Linked DNA regions of Schizosaccharomyces pombe. The protein of the gene in region 2 interacts with the protein of the main gene of each other region in a pairwise test. Each region holds a gene or a part of one and is shown on either strand. Other genes may lie near its edges.

Region 1 (6,176 bases), 1.6 Mb from region 2:
GAAAAACGCGATATTCAATTTCTAGAAAACGACAAGTTGGACCTGAATTCTCATGAGAACGAAGGCGAAAAAACTAAAACTGAAACAGTACCTACGCGTAAACAGTTTCCAAAAGTTGGAGAATTTAACTCCGCAATACACGGTCTTTCTTCGGAAAGTGTTTTGAGAACATGTTTTCGTGTAGGAGAAGTCTTAGCAGTATTCAGGATGAAACGAAGAGATGTATGCATTATAGTTGAATTTTTTGGTAAGGTCTATTATGTTTGCTCTCAATATATGTTGGTTTTATTGCATAAAAATGAAATCTAACGTTATAGCAAAAGTGCGCTCTGCAAAAAAAGTCGGCAATGTCATCCTCTACTACTTTGAAGACGCATTTCGTGGACAAAAATCACCAGCGATATTTGCTAAATATTACTCATGTTGCGAAATATCGCCTCTTTTAACTAAACCGGCAACTATGATCAGAGTGGTTGGAATCGTCTCTCATGCCGAAAAGATTTTAAAAGTGATACACATAGCTAGCTCGGATTTAGATGAATTATGGGACACTTACAATATGGTGCTCTACGAAACTTTATAGATTATCATCTATATATGATCATATTCACAAAAGATAAGTAAATATCTCTGAAGAACCAATAATCAAGCTTTAGAATCACAACTGAAAAAAATGGGCTAACGGATAATACACAATACGTTATCAGCATAGGAGCATACTGCAAAGTCAGTAAAGACAAATGCTCCGTAGATGAAAACAATTGACCGCACGAATATCATATAACAAAAAAGACTTGTCATCAAGTTTGTAAATCTGAATTGGGCGAATCTATGTAAGCGCTGAGCAAACAATTAGGGAAATTTGGAACGGGCGTCATTCAAAGTGAAAGGTTTTTAAGAGGATGCAATGGGGTAACTTAGACGTATTGAGCAAGCCACTTGAAGCCTTCGCCATAACCTTGGCGAAGGACCACCGAGCACATGAATACTTCGATAGGTCGGATTCCAGGAACGGGTTTAGACACGCCCTTACCAGTGGTCTGATAAAGTCCAAGGGCCGCCTTGAGTTCATCTTCAGAAATAGCACCAGGGGCATCGATTTTATTGCCAAGAATCAAAAAGGGGACGCGAGCAAGTTCTTCCATGGCCAATAAGGCATCTAGTTCGGCCTTTGATTCAGAAAGGCGTTCAAAGTCACAGCAGTCAACCAAGTAAACAATGCCATTAACCTCGGGGAAATAATCTCTCCACAAGCGGCGAGCTATAAGAAAATTAGTAAAAATACATAAAATCAGATAGAGAATCCAAAATCATAGAAGAAATTGCAAAGAAAAAACAAAGATCATGAGAACAAAACGGCCCACTGATAAACTAGCCAACGACATATGAGACGATATAGAAATTCAAACAACTTTATACAAAAAAGAATTTTAAGCGAAAAAAAATTAATTATTCTAAAGACATTCCAACTCTTACAAAATCTCCATGATTTAGAAAAACAACTCTGTGACTACATACCCTGTTGATGACCTCCCAAATCGAAAGTAGTAAATCGAACGTTGCCAATAGCCAGTTCTTCTGAAGTAGGATGTAAAGTTGGTTGCATTACAGCTAAACGGTCATTCTAAATAATTAGTATAAGGATAATCAAGGAGAGTAGAAGTCAAACATACTTTCAGCATGTGTAGCAAGGTGGTCTTTCCGGCGTTATCTAAACCCAAAAACAGCATCTTGGCATGCTTGTTGACAAGACCAAGCATGGCAAGAGCATCGTAGAACCAGTTAATGATAAACATTGGTGTAAGATGGATGGATTTTCTGAAAACCTGTTATGCTCAGTGTGTTGGTGGTTGGCAAGAGATGACTTACCTCATGCCTAGTTATACTAATTTTCTCTAGGTAACCGAAAATAAGTAGTTAAAGAAAATATTTAATTAATGTACGTATGAAATGAAACTGAATAATTACATATAGTTCAAATTTGGAAGCTTCTCTATGCTTTTTTCTAGTAGTAAGTATGAAGAGAACGATTTTGGCGATTTCTAATTTACATGTTTACGTTTGCTTAAATTAACTATTAATGAATTCGTCTCAATACAATTTCTTTCGGTTTGAAAAGAATAAAGGATGATAGCTTTCAGCTTTTCGTTTAAATAAAATTCGACTAGTAATTTACCATTTCTAAAATTTGTAACTATAAACATGTTATGTATTTGCACTACGCTCAGTTAATAACAGGGCGCAATAGACAAATTGAGAAAAACGGTAAATAAATGTATAAAAGAATTGAATGAATAAAACAATGCACACTTACAACAGTTGGGTTAGAATTACAAAAAAAAAAAATTCACGTAGGCTAACTGTTTTTAATATTAGCTTTTGAGATTAGAAGTAACTTTAATTTCTAAAAGTTTTCTGGATTTCTTTTTTTATAAATCTTACAAATTGTGACATCGGCCTTTCGTAGTTTATAGATATATTATACGAATATATATACATATATTTTTGTTTCTATGTATACGGTGGGTGATACAGGAATTTGTGTTTTATATTTAAAACATATAAATTCAATAATACTCATTTATTCAAAAAAATTTTTTTTTAAGCTAGTTTTTTTCATAATAAGTTGTTAATAACTATCATTTAATTATTACTTAATATTATTCCGGCATACAGAATTAGTAAATATCAGCTGAGAATCTATATCTACAGGATATTTTGCTAGCAAATAAATTAACAAAAATTGCATAATCTTCTCTAAAATTCAAGCATCAATTTTCGGGTTAATTTATGATCTTTTTCATTCTTCATTTCGTTAATTATTTTTGTATCACAACTTTGGAACGTAGTGTAATATGATATTCTTTATCTATACGACACACACCAAAATCCTTCTTCTTTTTGCAAATATAGACAACTTTTCTATTCGATAGCTTTAAAACTTCATAAAATTTTACTTGAAAGAACAACCAGAAGGTACTACTTTCGTTTATTGGAAGGTCCGTTTACAATCGATTGAAAATTATTCCTTGCTGCTATATATTTTCAGACTTTAATTTGTTCCATCAAGCCATCAAACACTCAAGCTATCATTATCTCAGTGAATAATTAAAATCACTATTTCATCTTATTTATAATGGGAATTTTCAGTGAAACAGTTCCAATTACTGCTGTCACCACTTATATCGATCGTTTAACCTCTAGAGATACCGACGATGAGGATTTGTCTGGTATCGTTCAATTATCTGAAGCCGTTAATTTAACTGTTACTGGTCCGCGAGAGGCTTCTCGTACCCTTCGTAAGAAGTTAAAGTACAGTACACCTCATGAACAAGTTCGGGCACTTGTTATTCTCCAGGCTTTAATTGAAAATGCTGGCTCTCATTTTTTACAAAATTTCTCAGACGAAAAATTGGAAGACCGAATGTTGCAATGTGCAACAAATTCTGAATATTCTAAACCCGTTCGTAAGCGTGCTATCCATATGATCAAACTTTGGCACAATGACTATTCTAATGTTCGTGGAATGGAAAGCATGAGTAGTTTAGTATCTCGACTTCCTCAACGACAATCATCTGCTTCGCATTCTGAACAACCCACTATCAATCTTAAAAAGGTTGGTCCAATTTTAGAAAGATTGATAGCCTCTTCCAGCATGGCTGCTACCAATCTTTCTAATAGCCTTGTCCGAATCAATCCTAACACAGAAAATCCGGCCAAAAACAAGCAAATCATGGTTTATTATGTGGATTGTAAACGTGCTCATCGCTCCTTGTTGCGCTACATACAAGCTATTCAAGACGAGATGTGGTTAGCCAATCTCTTGAAGGCAAACGATGAAATTGTGACAGCCATTGATGCATTCAAGGAAAAATGCTCCGAAAACTCAGATTATAGTTCAGATAGTGGATCCTATAGTTCTTCATATTCTCGTCACCTTGATGATCGGGCTTCTTACATATCTCGCTCGAGTAGCGGAGGTTCTAATGCTCAGAGATCAGAAGATTTGGATGTAAACAATCCTTTTGGCGATCATAATCGTTTGGAATAATTAATAAGCTTTCCTTTTTAATGGATTTGAATACCTAATTAATTGGTAATGATCGATTGATATCAAGGGGTGCGAAGGTTAAAAAGCATTTCATCTTGCCTTCAACATCTTCTTAATGATTCTACCTTCCATCTCTTTAATATGAGTGCCTTATTTATCTTGGACAATTATAATTTTTTAAGATTATGAGTCTTTTAGTTGGGTCATGCACTAGATATATATTACTGTATTCGACTTATTAGATACAATCCCTTTTTAGTCAACCTTTTAGCAACCGTGCGCCTTTGTTTATATTATTGCCAATTTTATTGCGTTTAACTGATAAGGTGTTTAATTAATTTATTTTTTTTGCACACTAGTTGTAGTCAATCTTTGTAAGTAACGCGCTTTAAAAAATGTTTTCTTTTAATTAACATAATTTAAAAAGTAAAGTTGTTTTCGAGATATCTAAAGCCATTATAGTATACCGTCCATCTCAAAAAAGCAGCACAACATTATTTATGTAAAATGGATGCATACATGCTTAATTTTAACCGTCAAATAATACAAAAAACAAATACATAACATTTTAACCAATTAAATAGAGAATTTGGTATCCTAAATTTGTAGCCACTTAAAAGGCATTCGTTCGTGAGTTTGTTTGTTTACATTCCATACCATACTACTAAGACAACAACCAAAGTGAATGGGTAATTCAAGACTAAAAGAAAAGAGGATCACGGAAATTAATTAAAAATGGAAAATTATACCAAATCCACAACCATGTGTGGAAAAAGAAAACCAACATTTGAGATTTATCGGGAAAGCGACTTTTCCAAAATAACAAATCAAGGAACTGTGACAGCGTTTGACATTATTTCAAATAAGGAAACATTTTCTGAAAGTAAACAATTAAAGAAAGCTAAGTCTCGAAACGTTACTTTAGTAGATAAGAATACAAAAGCCGATAAAAGATACAAAAGTGAGAAGCTATCAGATTACCTTCTTAACCAAGAACACCATAAAAACTCTCCGAAAATCATCAATGATGTGCTTGTTATAGGAAAAAGTGATGGTTTAATAAACTCGTTTCCATTAAGCCAAAATTATATATCTTCCAGTGAAAGCCAAACATCCTCTGGTAATGTCGATATTATTGGCAATGATAACTCACATGCATCTCCTTATTTACCCAAGTTTGAGCTAAAATCACAAAGTCAGTCCAACCATTCGAACGTTGTAAAAAACCAACCGATCAAATTGTGTAAAAAAACTGAGGGAGGTACTAATCTCGACCATAATAAATCAATAAATGGAGCCGTGAAATCAGGGACATCAAAATCAGCAAACAAAGACAGAATTTATGTTTTCTACGTAAGCAAATAATTTTTTGTAAAGGAATTTAAGCTAACAAGTTTTGGGTCAAGGAAGATGAAGAAGTGATGGAGTATCGTTACATATTTGGATCTCGTATGCAAACGAAAAATCATGATATCAATGCAAATAACAAAAGAAAAATTTTCTATCAAAACTCATTTTCGAACTTTCATTTGCTCCATAAAATTATACAGCCGAATTATGAACCTGCGTCAGCTGAGGAACGAAAGTTGTGCATTGAAATTTTAGATGAAGTTTTACAGTACTAGTTAATAATTCAGAATTTCCCCTTTTTAATTCAATGATAGATACTGTAGGTAAGCAGGTAGCTGAATTATCGGTAAGAGTTGTACGCTTTTTCATACCTCAAAAAAATCCGAAATCATTAATTTTGACTATGGTGCAATCATGAAACTGTAGATTCGACTTTTCCCTCGTTTAAAATTTTATCAACCACACTTGATACCTCAGGATAAGCCTGTTTAATTTCTTCGGCAAAAGCCTTTTGAAATCCCTCTATAGCATATAGCTTCCCGTTGACATACTGATTATCTTTTTGAACCAATTCACTGAATTGTCTAGCATATACATCTGGATTTCGACCTTGTTCAATATATTCCAAGACGTCTTGAGGGATTAAGTTATTCACCTTTCTAGATATGTCAGGAAGAGATTTGAGATCTCTGATAAGAGTATCAAGGCTTTCAGGAATGGCATCAGATGGAGTAGTATCTTCAAGGTTATAAACGATCAATGCCAAGTCATAAAA
Region 2 (13,362 bases):
GCAACTGACATGGCGGCGACACGACGAGGTTGAGTACACCCTATCATGCCATTTCTATGATAGCCATCCTCATATAAGAATTGAGCTAATTGGGTAGTTTTACCAGAACCAGTCTCACCAACTACAATAAGAACTTGGTTATCACGTATAACAGAAAGAAGCTGTTCACGCACGGCAAAGGCAGGTAGGAACTCTCTTTGTTCTCTATATGATTTCGTGCGAGCGAACTCAGTATCCTTCTTATTCGACTGTTCAGAACGTCCAGCTACTTTAACAGGTGTGGTACCGGCCTTGGCATCTTCATCATTAGAATCTTTGAGACCCATCACGTTACCCAAAGATGTACCAGCAAGGGATGTAGCAGCACTTGCTGCTTTTTGACGCTCCCGAAATTCTCTTCGTTCACGTACAAGACGAGATCCTAATCTAGCATTTATTGCAAGGTCGCTTTGTGGATCTCGAACCGATGTAATATCACCGACTTTCTTAGAAGAAAATTCGGCCCCATCCAAAAAATGAGGACGCAGTTCATCGACAAGCAAGTGAACACGCCTCTCTTCCATAAGGGAGTAATCAGATTCGAGCCCTGGAGCTTTTGAAACACCAGATGTGATCATTCTATTTTTTTCCCACATAGAATTTTCTTTAAATCTGTCTGATGCTTCAATTGACAAATGCTTTTTCTGCTTTTCGATAAACTCAGCTTCATGTGCACGATCTTCGACAGTTTCAAAATCGGAGAATGGATTGTGAACTTCATCGCCAAGTAAATTTTGCGACTCGGAATTCATGTACCAATCACGATCCAAGTGAGCTTGCTCCTCTTCCCAACGTTGACGATCAGCTTTACTCTCGGGATCTTCTTCGGGGTACTCAACGTCGCGGGCATCCCAAGAGCTGTGTGCACCATAAGAATAATCACTATCGTGCGAATATTTAGAGCTATCGACGTCTCTTCGAGAACCATTACCAAACCGATTTCTGCGTTTTGAGGATAAAGGTTCTTCCATTTGAGTTCGATACCGCCGACGATTAGATCCATTGGAAGACTCGAAATTACTTCCAGACCAGCTAGAATAAGAATTTCTACGATATTTATCATCTTCACTTTCAAACTCTTGATGATCGTCAACAGATGACCGTTGACGAAGGGGACGAAAATGTTTTTCATGTGGATTTTTAGGTCTCTTAAATTCCACCCTGTCATAGTTTCCTATAGACTCCAAGGAATCATTTTCTACTTGGGATAATTCAGAGCGCCCTTCTACTTGAGATTTCTCTTTCTTTTTTTGAACAGCAAGAACATCCAATCCAAGCTGGGATTTTTTGGGTTCTCGGCCTTTCAAACCAGAACGATTAGACAAAACTAATCCAGCTACCTGAGACCCATCATTCCCAGGAAGTTTATCTTTAGAAATCCCCAAATTTGTCTCTAAACCAATTATAGATTTGCATAAATCGTAAATAAGGACGCTGTCATTATCGGAAAATCGTCCAAATGTATGTAATGCATTAGAAAACTCGGTGCTGGACGAGCTACCCTTGGCAATTGTCAAAACTCGACTGGCAAGCGATGTAGCTGCATCTTTACTGGACATATAATCAGTTAATTTATCTATTAACTTCGTAAATAGCAAATCATTTTGATTATGTGAAAGCATACCTACTAAATCAATAAGGTTGCTGGCGGAAGGCGAACTTACTCAGACCCTCCGGCCCCCCAAAGGTGCAAAATCATGAACCTGAGTAATTGACAATTAACAATTTATCAGTACTTCAATGTTTAAATAAAAATTGTCATATGAATTAAAAGAATTGTTAGGCAAAATTTACCAAGTAACGGTAAACCCAATATACACTTAATGCATACATTTGCTACTCCACTAATGTGGATGAATTTACTAAAGTTTAAAGACCATCATACACCAAATCAAATGAAATTTATTGTAACTAACCTGATCCCTTTTTTCCAAATATTGAATTATGCAAAAAATCCTCTATACAATTAGTGAGCCCTTTAAACCCATGAAGCGGCCTCTTAGGAGAGTTTTTGAAAACATGAAGCTATAATCTTAAAATAAATCAAGAGAATTAGGACATCTCAGCATCTTGATCATCATCGTCTTCTATATCTTCATAGTCATCATCATCAGAAGAGTCCTCCCCGGCACCTCTGTCTTCTAACTGAACGATGCGCTCTTTTTTAGTAACTTCCTCAGTAACTCTACTTTCAAACGCTTTTCGAACACCAGGATTAGTTGCAGTGTCCCAGACACGAACGACTCCTTTGCTTCCGGAGGCAGCTAGATGGAAAGCAGTTGATTCGTCCGTAGTAAAGGAGCAAGTAAACACACGTCCAACATCCAAATCTCTAGAAACAACCATCTTCGGTGAACTATCGGAAGTGTTCCAGAGTTTAACCACTCTATCAGTGGAGCCTGTGGCTACAAAAGAAGGAACCGAAGGATTAACACTGAGACAAGAAATAGGTCCATCATGGGCTTGCAATTGCCAAACGGACTTTGAGAGATTTCTAGCATCGCAATAATAAACTATGCCATTATCAGTGCCAATGAAAAAGTTGTTTTCGCTATGTTGATCCCAGGCAACATTTTCAACATCGCTAGTAACTTGAAAACTCGATGGAGCTTCTTCAAGGCGAAGGTCAGCTATTTTTGCAGTTTTATCATAACTACCTGACAATAATACGGATGGAGCTTTGGAATACCAATCTAAGCAAGAAACTTTGTCAGAATGATACGTGAAAGATTTGACACAATTGCATGTGCTCAAATCCCACAACTTTAGTGTGGTATCTGCAGAACCAGAAACCAAAAGATTGTGAGCATTTCGGTTCGAAGAAAGAGCAAGAACAGCATCTGTGTGATAACTATCATTTATTTTTTTAGACTTCTTCTTTTTCTTGTTGACTTGAGAGGCACCTGCACCCAACACGGCTGCAGGGTAAACTGCATCAATGATGTCTAAATCCCATATTTCAATTTCAGGATCAAACGTGCCGACAGCAACGTAATTTCCAGGAGCGTTGTCAGACGTACCCACCTTATAATCTAGCCATTCGAGACACAGAGGAAAGGTAGGGAGAAGAAAATCATGATGCACGTAAAGATTTTCCTCTGTTGGCTCATATACATACACTTCAACGTGGGACAAGTTATCTTCTGTGCGCGCAGCTAGCAAAAGGCTGTCTGTTGGTAATATTTGCATTTCCTCTCTTTCCAAATCGTCCTGTTCCTGAGGATCAATAGTGATATATGGATCTTTTTCTCCATTTTCATGGTAAGCCAATCCACGAATGTTGCTAAACATAGCAGCGGGCCCTTCTGTCTCAGCTTCCTCCTCATCGTCATCGTAAGTATCCAAATTGTATACTTTCAATTCATCATCTACCTCTTCACTTGTTTGCAACACCCCTTCTGCTCCATCTGTAGTTTCTTCACCGTTCCCATTGGCTTTATTTGAGTCTTCCATAGAAGATTGGAGATCAGCTCGAGCATCCTCGAGCTTTAACTTTGAAAGCTGATTAATTCGCTCATACTCTATCTCATCAATATCGTAACTCTTGGGAAACTCTGATGCATAACCGCGAGGAACAAAAGCCACAGACGAGACTATTGACATGTTGCACCTCTCTTAATATTTACTCCGCAAATCTTTACTTTAATGTTTAAACCAGAAAACACACCACTCTTGATCTAAACGAGATTAAAAATTTAAAGATTAAGTAAATGTCAACGTATTGATACGAGTAAATAATGGCATAAATCGTGCACCGCTACTTGGGAAAAGAAGAACTGAAAATATTCGTGTCTTACAAAAAACGTTATTTAACCGTTTAGCGTAAACCTGCGTTAAATTAGATTTCAAAACTTAAGAAAACATTTTTCTTCGACCAAAAGGCCATAACGTTCATGTAGATAAACTAAATGCGTTAACTTAATTTACGTCAACAAGTATTTTTACTCATCGTAAATTCAAGTTAATGTCAGTTACGCAATTTGGTATCTGTTTAATGATACATTGAACTACGGCGAGTATTTCTTACGAGCTACGATGTAACGGTATGCGGTATGTTAAACTAACTAACATGTAAGCTACGCAGTTTGGTATCTGATTTAAGGATACGTAGAACTGCGGTGAGTTTTCCTTGTGATCTATTATATTACAATACACAGGTTGTATAAGTAGCAACTGAGAATAGGTATTGTATTAACTGGGTTATAATGTTACCTATCACTAATATAGCTCATAACTGAACCTCGTTCCTCAGTTCAGCAGTAGCTCTATTTATATTATTCAGATAATATAGATCTTAATAGATCATCATTAAGATCAATCTCAATATCGTATCATACATGGTACGATATATAATTAGAACATGTGACATATAGTGATACGCAAGTAGTGTATCATAGCGTAGTGTAGTATTGCTGACATAACAATATTTATTTGAGAAATCTAATAGCATCGGTCACTAAATTTTTTAGTCTTTCTAATATTTGTATTTGTTCTCACTGGTGTCTAAGTAAAATTAATGGATCTTAAAATTTGTTTCCAACATATAAAATCAGTCGCACGCAACACAGTGTAAACACTTCTAACAGTACGTTGCATAAGAATACTAAGTTGAGTGAATTAAAAGGGCGGTAACAATATGAGTGTCAGAAGCATCACATTAAGATGGAGTTTGGAATTTTTGGTTTTTACTTAACTTTTAAATGATTTCAAGATTGAATAAACACAAAACAATACTTTGAATTTTATTAATTAATTTTATTGAATTTTTATATGGAGAAAAATTGCAATACTAGCTTCGTTAGAAAGTTTGTACGATAAATGCTACGGACGTATATTTGTGTATTGCCTGCTGTTTTCGTTTAATGTTGCAAAGAACACAAGTCAACTAATTTGCCGCAGCTCTAACTGCTGTAATCTATAAAGTTCGCTATACAACAAACGAACACAAGGAAACAAATAGTCACCTATAATTTTCTCTTCTTAAATTAGTCTTAATTTTTGGACTGAAACTTAAACAGTAAAACGAATAGCTTATAATATGAAAAGTTGTTTTAGAAGGGCAAAATGTTAGAAAAAGTTATCGATTACACAACAATAGGAAACTACCCTTTTACTATGATTTTGAGCAAAACCAGTAAACCAATCCATAAATCACAATATGTAGCTTTATTCATGCTTTTATCTTTTTTTTTTAACGAAAGCTTATGTTTAATAAGCTCGACTCTCGTATAGTTGATAAAAGCCGTCACGTTGTTTCGAAGCTATAAATTTGGCAAACCGCTAAACGTACGTAGTGCCATCAACGCTGAAAACAGCTATATTAGTGCATATAGATAATTTCGTAAAAATCTTTGAAGTTTTTTAAAAAGGACTGTCTATAAAAAATTTCAACTAGGTAGGTATTCAAAAATGAAAGAAACTGAAAATTCCTTGAATTCTATTGTGATGACAAAAGAAGAAGCTTAACATTTTATATAGGAAGTGCCGTCTGAGAGTTCTGCTCGGTGACCAAGCTAATTCATTCTGAGAAATCTTTGTAAACTCAAGGGGTTTTAGTATTCAATCATTTGGGCTTTCATAAGTCTATCAACAGTTTTTGCTCATTGCATACTAACAGCGTTTAGGCAAGTTTAATATGTGCTGAAAGTGAATATATTGCATCGCTCACTATGAAAAAACGGTTTGATTGGTGTTTAATTTTAATTGATATCATAGAAAAGCTTTTAAATGAGGCTGATCTAAGTATTTTAATAATCGTCATCTGCTAAGAAATCAATAGCCAGTACTCGCTTTTTCGTTGTTGTATTACTTCTGGGCATAGTTTGATTTTGTACTGTTCGTGTTTGTTTAGTAGTCATATAACGCTTTTTCAGCTCTGCATCTAGCTTTTTAGTGATTATAGTCATCTGGCTTGTGCAATCAGCTAGTGTTTTTGTATTACTGTTCTGTTCTTTTTGTAAAGCTTCAAATTTCAAATTCATATCTGACATGGTCTGTTCCAACTTATTGATACGACTGGCATAATCTTGAATCCCTAAGGCCACTTGCTGCATAGACATGTTTATTTGATTCAAAGATTGTAGTACTATTAAGTCAGACTTCCAACCACTTGGGAAATTCTAAATCTCACTTACCTAGTTGAGAATTTTGTTGTTGGACTTCACTAATAGATCGTCCTAGTTGACCGATCGTTTGATTAACTACCTCTTGTTTGGTATTCATTTCAGCCAAACAACTAGCAATTTGATTGCTCTGTGACTTTTGATGCTGTTGCATATCTTCGGCTTGCATTGCCAACTTGCGAGACCATAATTGAGCAGCTGAAACTGAATAACTCATTATTTAATGATCGTTTCCGTTAAAATTCCCGTAACGCTTAATTGCAGGTTTGGTTAAAGGGAATGTTCGTTTTCACTAGAAAAAAGTCGAGACACGCGACGCGACACCAACTAACTTCAGGTTGAATTAATGGATAATTACTCAGTATATTGGATGCCCATTCATACTATTAAAATTAAATTGAAAAATATAAAATAAAATAAAATAAATCATAACCTAAAAATACTTTGTCAAATTTAGTACCAAACACAAATTTTATTTTAAGCCGAATCCTTAATTAGGTATACGTAAAAAGGAAACCCCTTTCAAAGTCTAACTCCCCGAACACGAACAGCATCGGCATGCGCAGTGAGACCCTCCAACTCAGCAAGACGAATAACAGTAGGGCCCAACCGCTGGATTCCTTCTTCAGTGAGCTCTTGGGTAGTGATATATTTTAAGAAGCTATCGGTACTAACGCCAGAATAAGAAGAGGCGTACCCGTATGTAGGAAGCGTATGGTTGGTACCAGACGCATAGTCACCCATACTTACAGGTGACCAAGGACCAACGAAAACGCTACCAGCATTATCTATTTTGGGAATGTATGAAGAAGCATTTTTTAAGTGCAAGACCAAGTGCTCAGGACCATACAAATTAGACCATTCAAAAGCTTGATCAACATTGTCAACCTGTACAATAACCGACTTCTTGATAGCATGTTTGATGATATACGAACGAGAAAGTCGTAAAGCGTGATCATTAATTGCTTTTTGAATACGGTCAAACATTTCGGGAGATAGAGAGACAGTCAGCAAAATGATCTGACTGTCCAAACCATGCTCTGCTTGAGACAATAAATCCAAGGCAACACTTTCAGGATTACAGGTCTCATCTGCTATTACCAAAACTTCTGAGGGACCAGCAGGAAGATCAATAGCAACTAAAGCCCCGTAATCATTCTGAACATGCATCTTTGCAGCTGTAACAAATTGATTTCCAGGGCCAAAAATTTTGTTAACTTTAGGAACACCGGATATTCCATATGCCATGGCCGCAATTGCTTGCGCCCCGCCTGCCAAAATAATAGCCTCAGCACCAATTTTATTTGCAATATATACAATTTCAGGCGCAACCGTACCATCCTTTCGGACTGGCGTAGAAATCACTACATGAGGACAGCCAGCTACCTTCGCCGGAACTCCAAGCATCAAAGCAGTAGATGGCAACACTGCAGTTCCTCCAGGGATATAAAGACCAACTCGGTTAATAGGACGAGACATCCGTTGACAGACTACACCACGCATGGTTTGAACAGCAATTGTAGGACGCAGCTGTGATGAATGGAAAGCAAAAATATTGTTAAAAGCAATATCAATATCCTCTTTAATCATTGGGGATATTTTCATTAAGTCGTCGTCAAACGGAGCCTTTAAGACAGCCGACTTCAATTGAACCTTTTCAAATTTGGAAGCATAATCTATTAGAGAAGCTTCTCCTCTTGATTTAACATCCTCGATTATCGGTTGGACAATCGTACGAATTTTTTGAGTGTTCTGAATGGGTCTTGCAAGTAATCGTGTACGTTCTTCGGCGGTTAATGCAGCAGCTCTATAAGAAGGCACCTGAATCTCGTATTCCGGCATTATTAAGTAAATTAAAGGTAGTCAAGTCTAAATCGACTCTCTAAAAATTTAATGCAATGTTGGCTAAGGAATGGCTGGATCGGTGAATACTCGATTTCCCTTACAGCAAAGATCTAAATTTGATATGTCTTCGGATAAACCGCGGTTGCAACTTTTTATCCGCGGTAATAGAATTAACAAAGATCGAGAGAAACAAAAAAAAATTTATTAAATAATCGTAGTTGTATTATTAAAATTAATCTAAAACGTTTCATCTTCATTGGCATTACAATCTTTAGTATAGTGAAGAATCCACGAAAGCACTTCTTTATGCCAACGTAGGGAATTATCAGGTTTAATGACCCAATGGTTTTCGTCTTCAAAGACTAGTAATCTGCTAGGAATTCCCTTGTACTGCAAAACATTGAATGCGGCTATTCCTTCACTTTCGGTAAGCCTGTAATCCTTTGAGCTATGAATTACAAGTTCAGGAGTGGCCCAATAATTCACAAAATTTGAAGGATTCCAGCGCTCATAGATAACTCTGTTTTCCCAAGGAGTACCCCCAAAATCGTGAATAGAAAAATAAAGTTCTTCAGTATTGTAAAAAGTATTGAGGGTATTAAATACCCCGTCATGACATACAAGTGCACGAAATTGACGACCTAAAGGGTGTCCTTGAATCCAATTAATCATGTAACCACCATAGGAAGCACCTAAGGCAACCATTTTTTCAGAATCAGCATAGGAAAGATGATTTTTTATGTACTCAACACCAAGTTCAATATCTTTATATGGCTTACCACCCCAATCAAGAGCAATGGAATCGGTAAAACGTTGTCCATAACCTGTAGATCCAGTAGGATCAAGAGCAAATACAATAAAACCAGCATTAGCAAAAACTGCAGGATTCCAGCGCGTTGACCAACTATCTGTCCAAGAACCTTGAGGTCCCCCGTGTATAAGCACTGCTACAGGATATTTTTTAGATTTATCAAAACTTTCGGGCTTTACAATCCATGCATGAATTCTGTGACCATGAGTGCCAGGAAACCAAATTTCTTCATAAGAAGTTGGCGATAATCCGACATTGTTCTCGAGTAAAACACTTTCGTTTAACGTTTCAACGTTAATCTTTGCGTAATAAGGGGGATTGATTAAAGATGACTTCGTAAGCCATAAGGAAGAAGATTTAGGGACACTAATAGAAGAAACAGAGTGTTCTTCTGTCATTGGGATAACTTGGTGGTGAAATATAGAAACAAAAAACAAAATTTGCTTCCCATAATTCTCAGCAATAGCAAAAAGACCTGGTTCGCCTCCTTTGAAAACCCCCCATTCAATGCTGGAAGGCGATCGGTCCCAATGACGAGCAATGTGCTTTTTAGCGCCTGACTCGGACTCATATACCATTATTTGATTTTGATCGCTTTCGTACTGTGGTGTTTGCATTTCAAGCCATGCAATATGATTTCCATCTTTGGCTAGTCTTGGTGAAGAGCATGCACCCTTCGCAGTGCTCAATGACTTCAGATTCCGAGTGTTCAGATTAATCTCGTAAACAACTGTCTTTGTTTGTGTTGCCGGATTTAATTTCGGGTCTTTTGCTACAAAGACAAGTTTGTCGTAGTTAGAATCAAAGTCAGAAAGACCTCCGAAGGGTTCGACAGGAGATTCCAAGCCAGTTTCCTTCAACAAATCAATAGCTTTTTCTGAGGAAATTTCAAAATAATTTGAGTTTTCCGTTTTTTTATCTAGCTCTATAAAATAAAGGGTATTCCTAGATCCTGTGTTCCATCTATCCCAGTGTCGAACAAACAAGTGATCGTATACGTGAACATTTGAAGGTCCCTTAACTAACGAATTATCCACTGAACTAAAAACGATTCTATAGTGGTTGTTCTTTTCTCCGATCCTTATATCAGATATTGAAGAGTTATGATTATATATGATACGCTCTGATCGATTGTTAACGTCAAAAAGAAGGATACTCGATGAGCTAGAATTATCTTCTCTTGCATATAAAAAAGCTGAATCAGTAATCCATGTGAGCGCTTTGTTTGATTTGCCGTGTACTAAAAGCTCTTGATGGTTTCTAGTGCTTTCATTCAAAAGGTAAATTCCAGAGTTATATTTGTGATCAGCAAAGGAATAATTCGATTCTATAAATATTCCAAGATTCCCTAAAGGATTGCTAACTACTGCTGACCTTCTAGGAGCTTCTAGCATGGATTCCGCATCAAATGCAGCCTTGTCAGCTGCAGTTAGCGTCATTACCAGGAAAAAAACTAGCTGCTTGAAAAGACTATGCATCCAAAAAAATATATTCTTTGACCAGAGTGAGGTGAATTCTAAGGAATTTGCATGAAGGGGAAAGGAAATTTATCTTGCAAAGATTACCAACCCATCTGACGAAGATATGATTATATATGATGACTTTATAAACTCCCAGCATAGTGTTAGCGTGCAGCCCTTTGTAAAGCGTTGGGCTGCGTTTGTACTGATAGGTGATGGTTTAAATTCATGTTACAATAATAACAATTTCTTTATTATTGAATATTTCTAAAACAATTTTCATCAGTATATTTAACTTGAAATACCAAGACATCTCAACAAAACATGTTATTGGGCAAATAGTCATAGTGAATATCTGCTAACTTATAATCTTTATCCTATTAATGTCAGTTATGGTAAATCTCTGATAATATTTGTTTAAATAGACATCATTTTATAGTCTTATAAAAATTTTACAGATCTTCAACTTCTACCGAATAATGAGAATTGAAGAACTTTAATGAACCCATCAGTTATTTCTAAAAAGTATTGTAGTGTGTGAAGTCCTCATCAAAAATGCAAAATTCAAACCACTCAATTGAAATTACTTGTATTATTATATAGATCAATCATGTTTGAGAAGCATAGTTTGAGATATAAATCACTGTCATCCTTCGGACGGAGATGACTATAATCTTATAAAATTAAAGCAGAACAGGGAAATGCATATACTTAAAAAAAGGCACAGAAGATTTTATTGTTAGTACAAAACCTATACTGTTGATAATCCCTCTTTACTGAGCTATATTTTTTTAAAGCTCAGAACAAAATAAAATCTATGCACAACAGAAAGAAGTAAGTACGAAGGAGACATCATCCATTCCTTTAGCAAAGAAAGAAACAATTCCACGTTGGGAAGTTTAAAGTTGTCTAAGAATTATAGAAATGTCATTACATTTTTGCATTCCTTGTACTTTAATTTGAGAACATGAGCAAATTTAACGAAAATTAATAAGTCATGTTTTCGACTGCATAAAAAAGTAATAAATTAATCTCAGATTCGTAAATTTTCATTAATATTAGTTCAAGTCGCATAAAAAATATCGTAAACATCACACATTGTAAAACAAACGTTAAAGCATCATACGCCAAGTTATAAAACACTTACTTAAAAACTCAAAAGCCTCTATACAGTAGTAGGTTAATAACGAGGAACTATTATTCCTTCACGGCATGCTGCTCAAGAATACCAGAAAAATATTCCACATGACAATCGCAAACCATTTGTAATGTCTTACGCATTTCAACATCGATACGTTCGCGTAGAAAATTTAACTCTTGCTCAAGTTTTTCGTTGAAAATGCATAATTCTTGAAACGATAATTGAAGCAACTCCATGGGATTAGCATCGTCTTGACCTAATGAGTACCGCTTTTTTTTAAAAAATTTTGGAATACTGAATAAACTCGAGGTACGTATAGTAGTGTTGGGCGACGGTTTAAGCTCAGGTGTCTGCTGCACAACGGGAGTGGCTTCTACAAAGTTTGGGTCAGATCGTGATGATTGATCAGGGTTATTAGAGTTAGATTGAACGATTTGTTGGAAATGTTCAAATTGCTTCACCTTTTGTTCACGAGATTTGATCAAACTCTTAAAAACCACCATGTAATCTTCCAAATCTTGAATAGATGTAATTACCTTAGAATGAAAAGAGTTTATTAAAAAAATGCTGTTTCTCTTTAGTCTTTTAAATTCTACAGAGACAACATCGAGGTTACTGATGCTTAAATTAGAAGGGACAGGAATATCAGTAGGAAAATTTTGAACACTATTCATGTATTGAACACAGGTTTTCTCCAACTTTGAGAGATCCGTATCCGCATTTTGGAGAAGCTGTTTTGCTGTTTCATACAAGCTTTGAGCATACGGGTCTAAGTTTTGAATTGATGATTCAATTCCTCCGGATACGTTATTGCCCTTGGACTTAGTGTTTTCGGATTGCATCCACGCGTTATGATAATAAGATTTCCAAGAGTTATTTTCCAAAAATTGATACATATGCATAGAATTGGAAATTACAGGGTGTGTGGAGCATCGATCCAGAAACGTTTGGAGGGATTGCATTCGACGAGCAATGAATATGGGAGATAATGAACCACCAGAGAAAGAACTAACAGTATATTTTCTCGGTAGCGGAGGGATTGCATAACCATTATAATCATGGCTCAAAATATTATGAAGCATCTCAAAATCCTTATATCTCCGACGAACAGAGAACTTTTTATCTTCAAAAACTGGCAGATCCGATTCAGTCTCAATTTCATAAGAGACGAATGTATCTCCGCTTCTTAAAGTTTCGATTTGCTCATTTTTAATTGTACATTTCAGCATTGCTTACATGTCATGAAAGAGATTGGTAATCTTGCGACCCAATATTTTTAAAGTACAAGATAATACAGCTGATTCGAAGTTCTTTACAAAGCAATTAAGATTTTTTTTAAACAAATAACAATGAATGTAACTACAAAATTCTTCAGATATTTTTGCAATTGCTATTTCCACAGAATTTTGTAGTTGGTGCTGACTACGTAAAGATCCATTGGAGCACAAGCTATGTCAAGCGTTCAATTAGCAAAGATATTAGAGAAGAATCACGCAAAACGGTAGCAATATTGATAAACTTGTTAAGGAAAAGGAATTTAATAAACAATTATCAATTGAGAGAATTGAAATCTACAACTTTTCATATCGTAATGCTTACAATCGTGAGCCATGATAAACAAACAGAAATGCATAAAATTATTGAGCTTCAAGCTTTAACATAGTTACATTTTTCCTGTAAAAAAAATAAATGCAGCTTTGATTCGAATTAAATTAGCTTAAAATAAATTTCTTTGAAAATATGCAATAGATATGCTTTCTATTGGATGCATATTTTCAAGCTGTGCGCAATTCCGAAAATTAATACCATCTACTCAGCAAGTGGAATTGACCAAATGTAAATTCTAGCAGATTCAATTATCTAAATTATTAGTCGGATTTAAATCATACCAACACTAGATATTTAAAAACTATATTTCAACTTTAAACCGACATATTGTGTATT

What was found.
Region 1: the proteins of rec15 (region 2) and mde2 interact in a two-hybrid assay, tested with the Schizosaccharomyces pombe proteins (one study listed by BioGRID).

Annotation. Positions count from the first base shown.
Region 1 is NC_003423.3:3,760,034-3,766,209, forward strand, and holds mde2 (protein Mde2), read left to right. Parts: upstream 1-4,786; coding exon 4,787-5,404; exon of another isoform or gene 5,405-5,457; coding exon 5,458-5,676; downstream 5,677-6,176. Other genes in the region: protein mug37, read left to right, coding at 1-247, 318-583; ADP-ribosylation factor Sar1, read right to left, coding at 918-1,261, 1,519-1,624, 1,674-1,796; protein lsb5, read left to right, coding at 3,137-4,051; mediator complex subunit Med10, read right to left, coding at 5,814-6,176.
Region 2 is NC_003423.3:2,154,558-2,167,919, reverse strand, and holds rec15 (meiotic recombination protein Rec15), read right to left. Parts: upstream 6,434-13,362; 5' UTR 6,379-6,433; coding exon 6,174-6,378; exon of another isoform or gene 6,125-6,173; coding exon 5,787-6,124; downstream 1-5,786. Other genes in the region: ATP-dependent RNA helicase Prp16, read right to left, coding at 1-1,661; pwp1 (WD repeat protein), read right to left, coding at 2,092-3,642; SPOM_SPBC1711.15C (uncharacterized protein), read left to right, coding at 5,709-5,807; histidinol dehydrogenase His2, read right to left, coding at 6,684-8,003; ppp16 (acylpeptide hydrolase), read right to left, coding at 8,244-10,295; atg2402 (autophagy associated protein), read right to left, coding at 11,475-12,647. UniProt on the Schizosaccharomyces pombe protein: Required during the early stages of meiosis for meiotic recombination.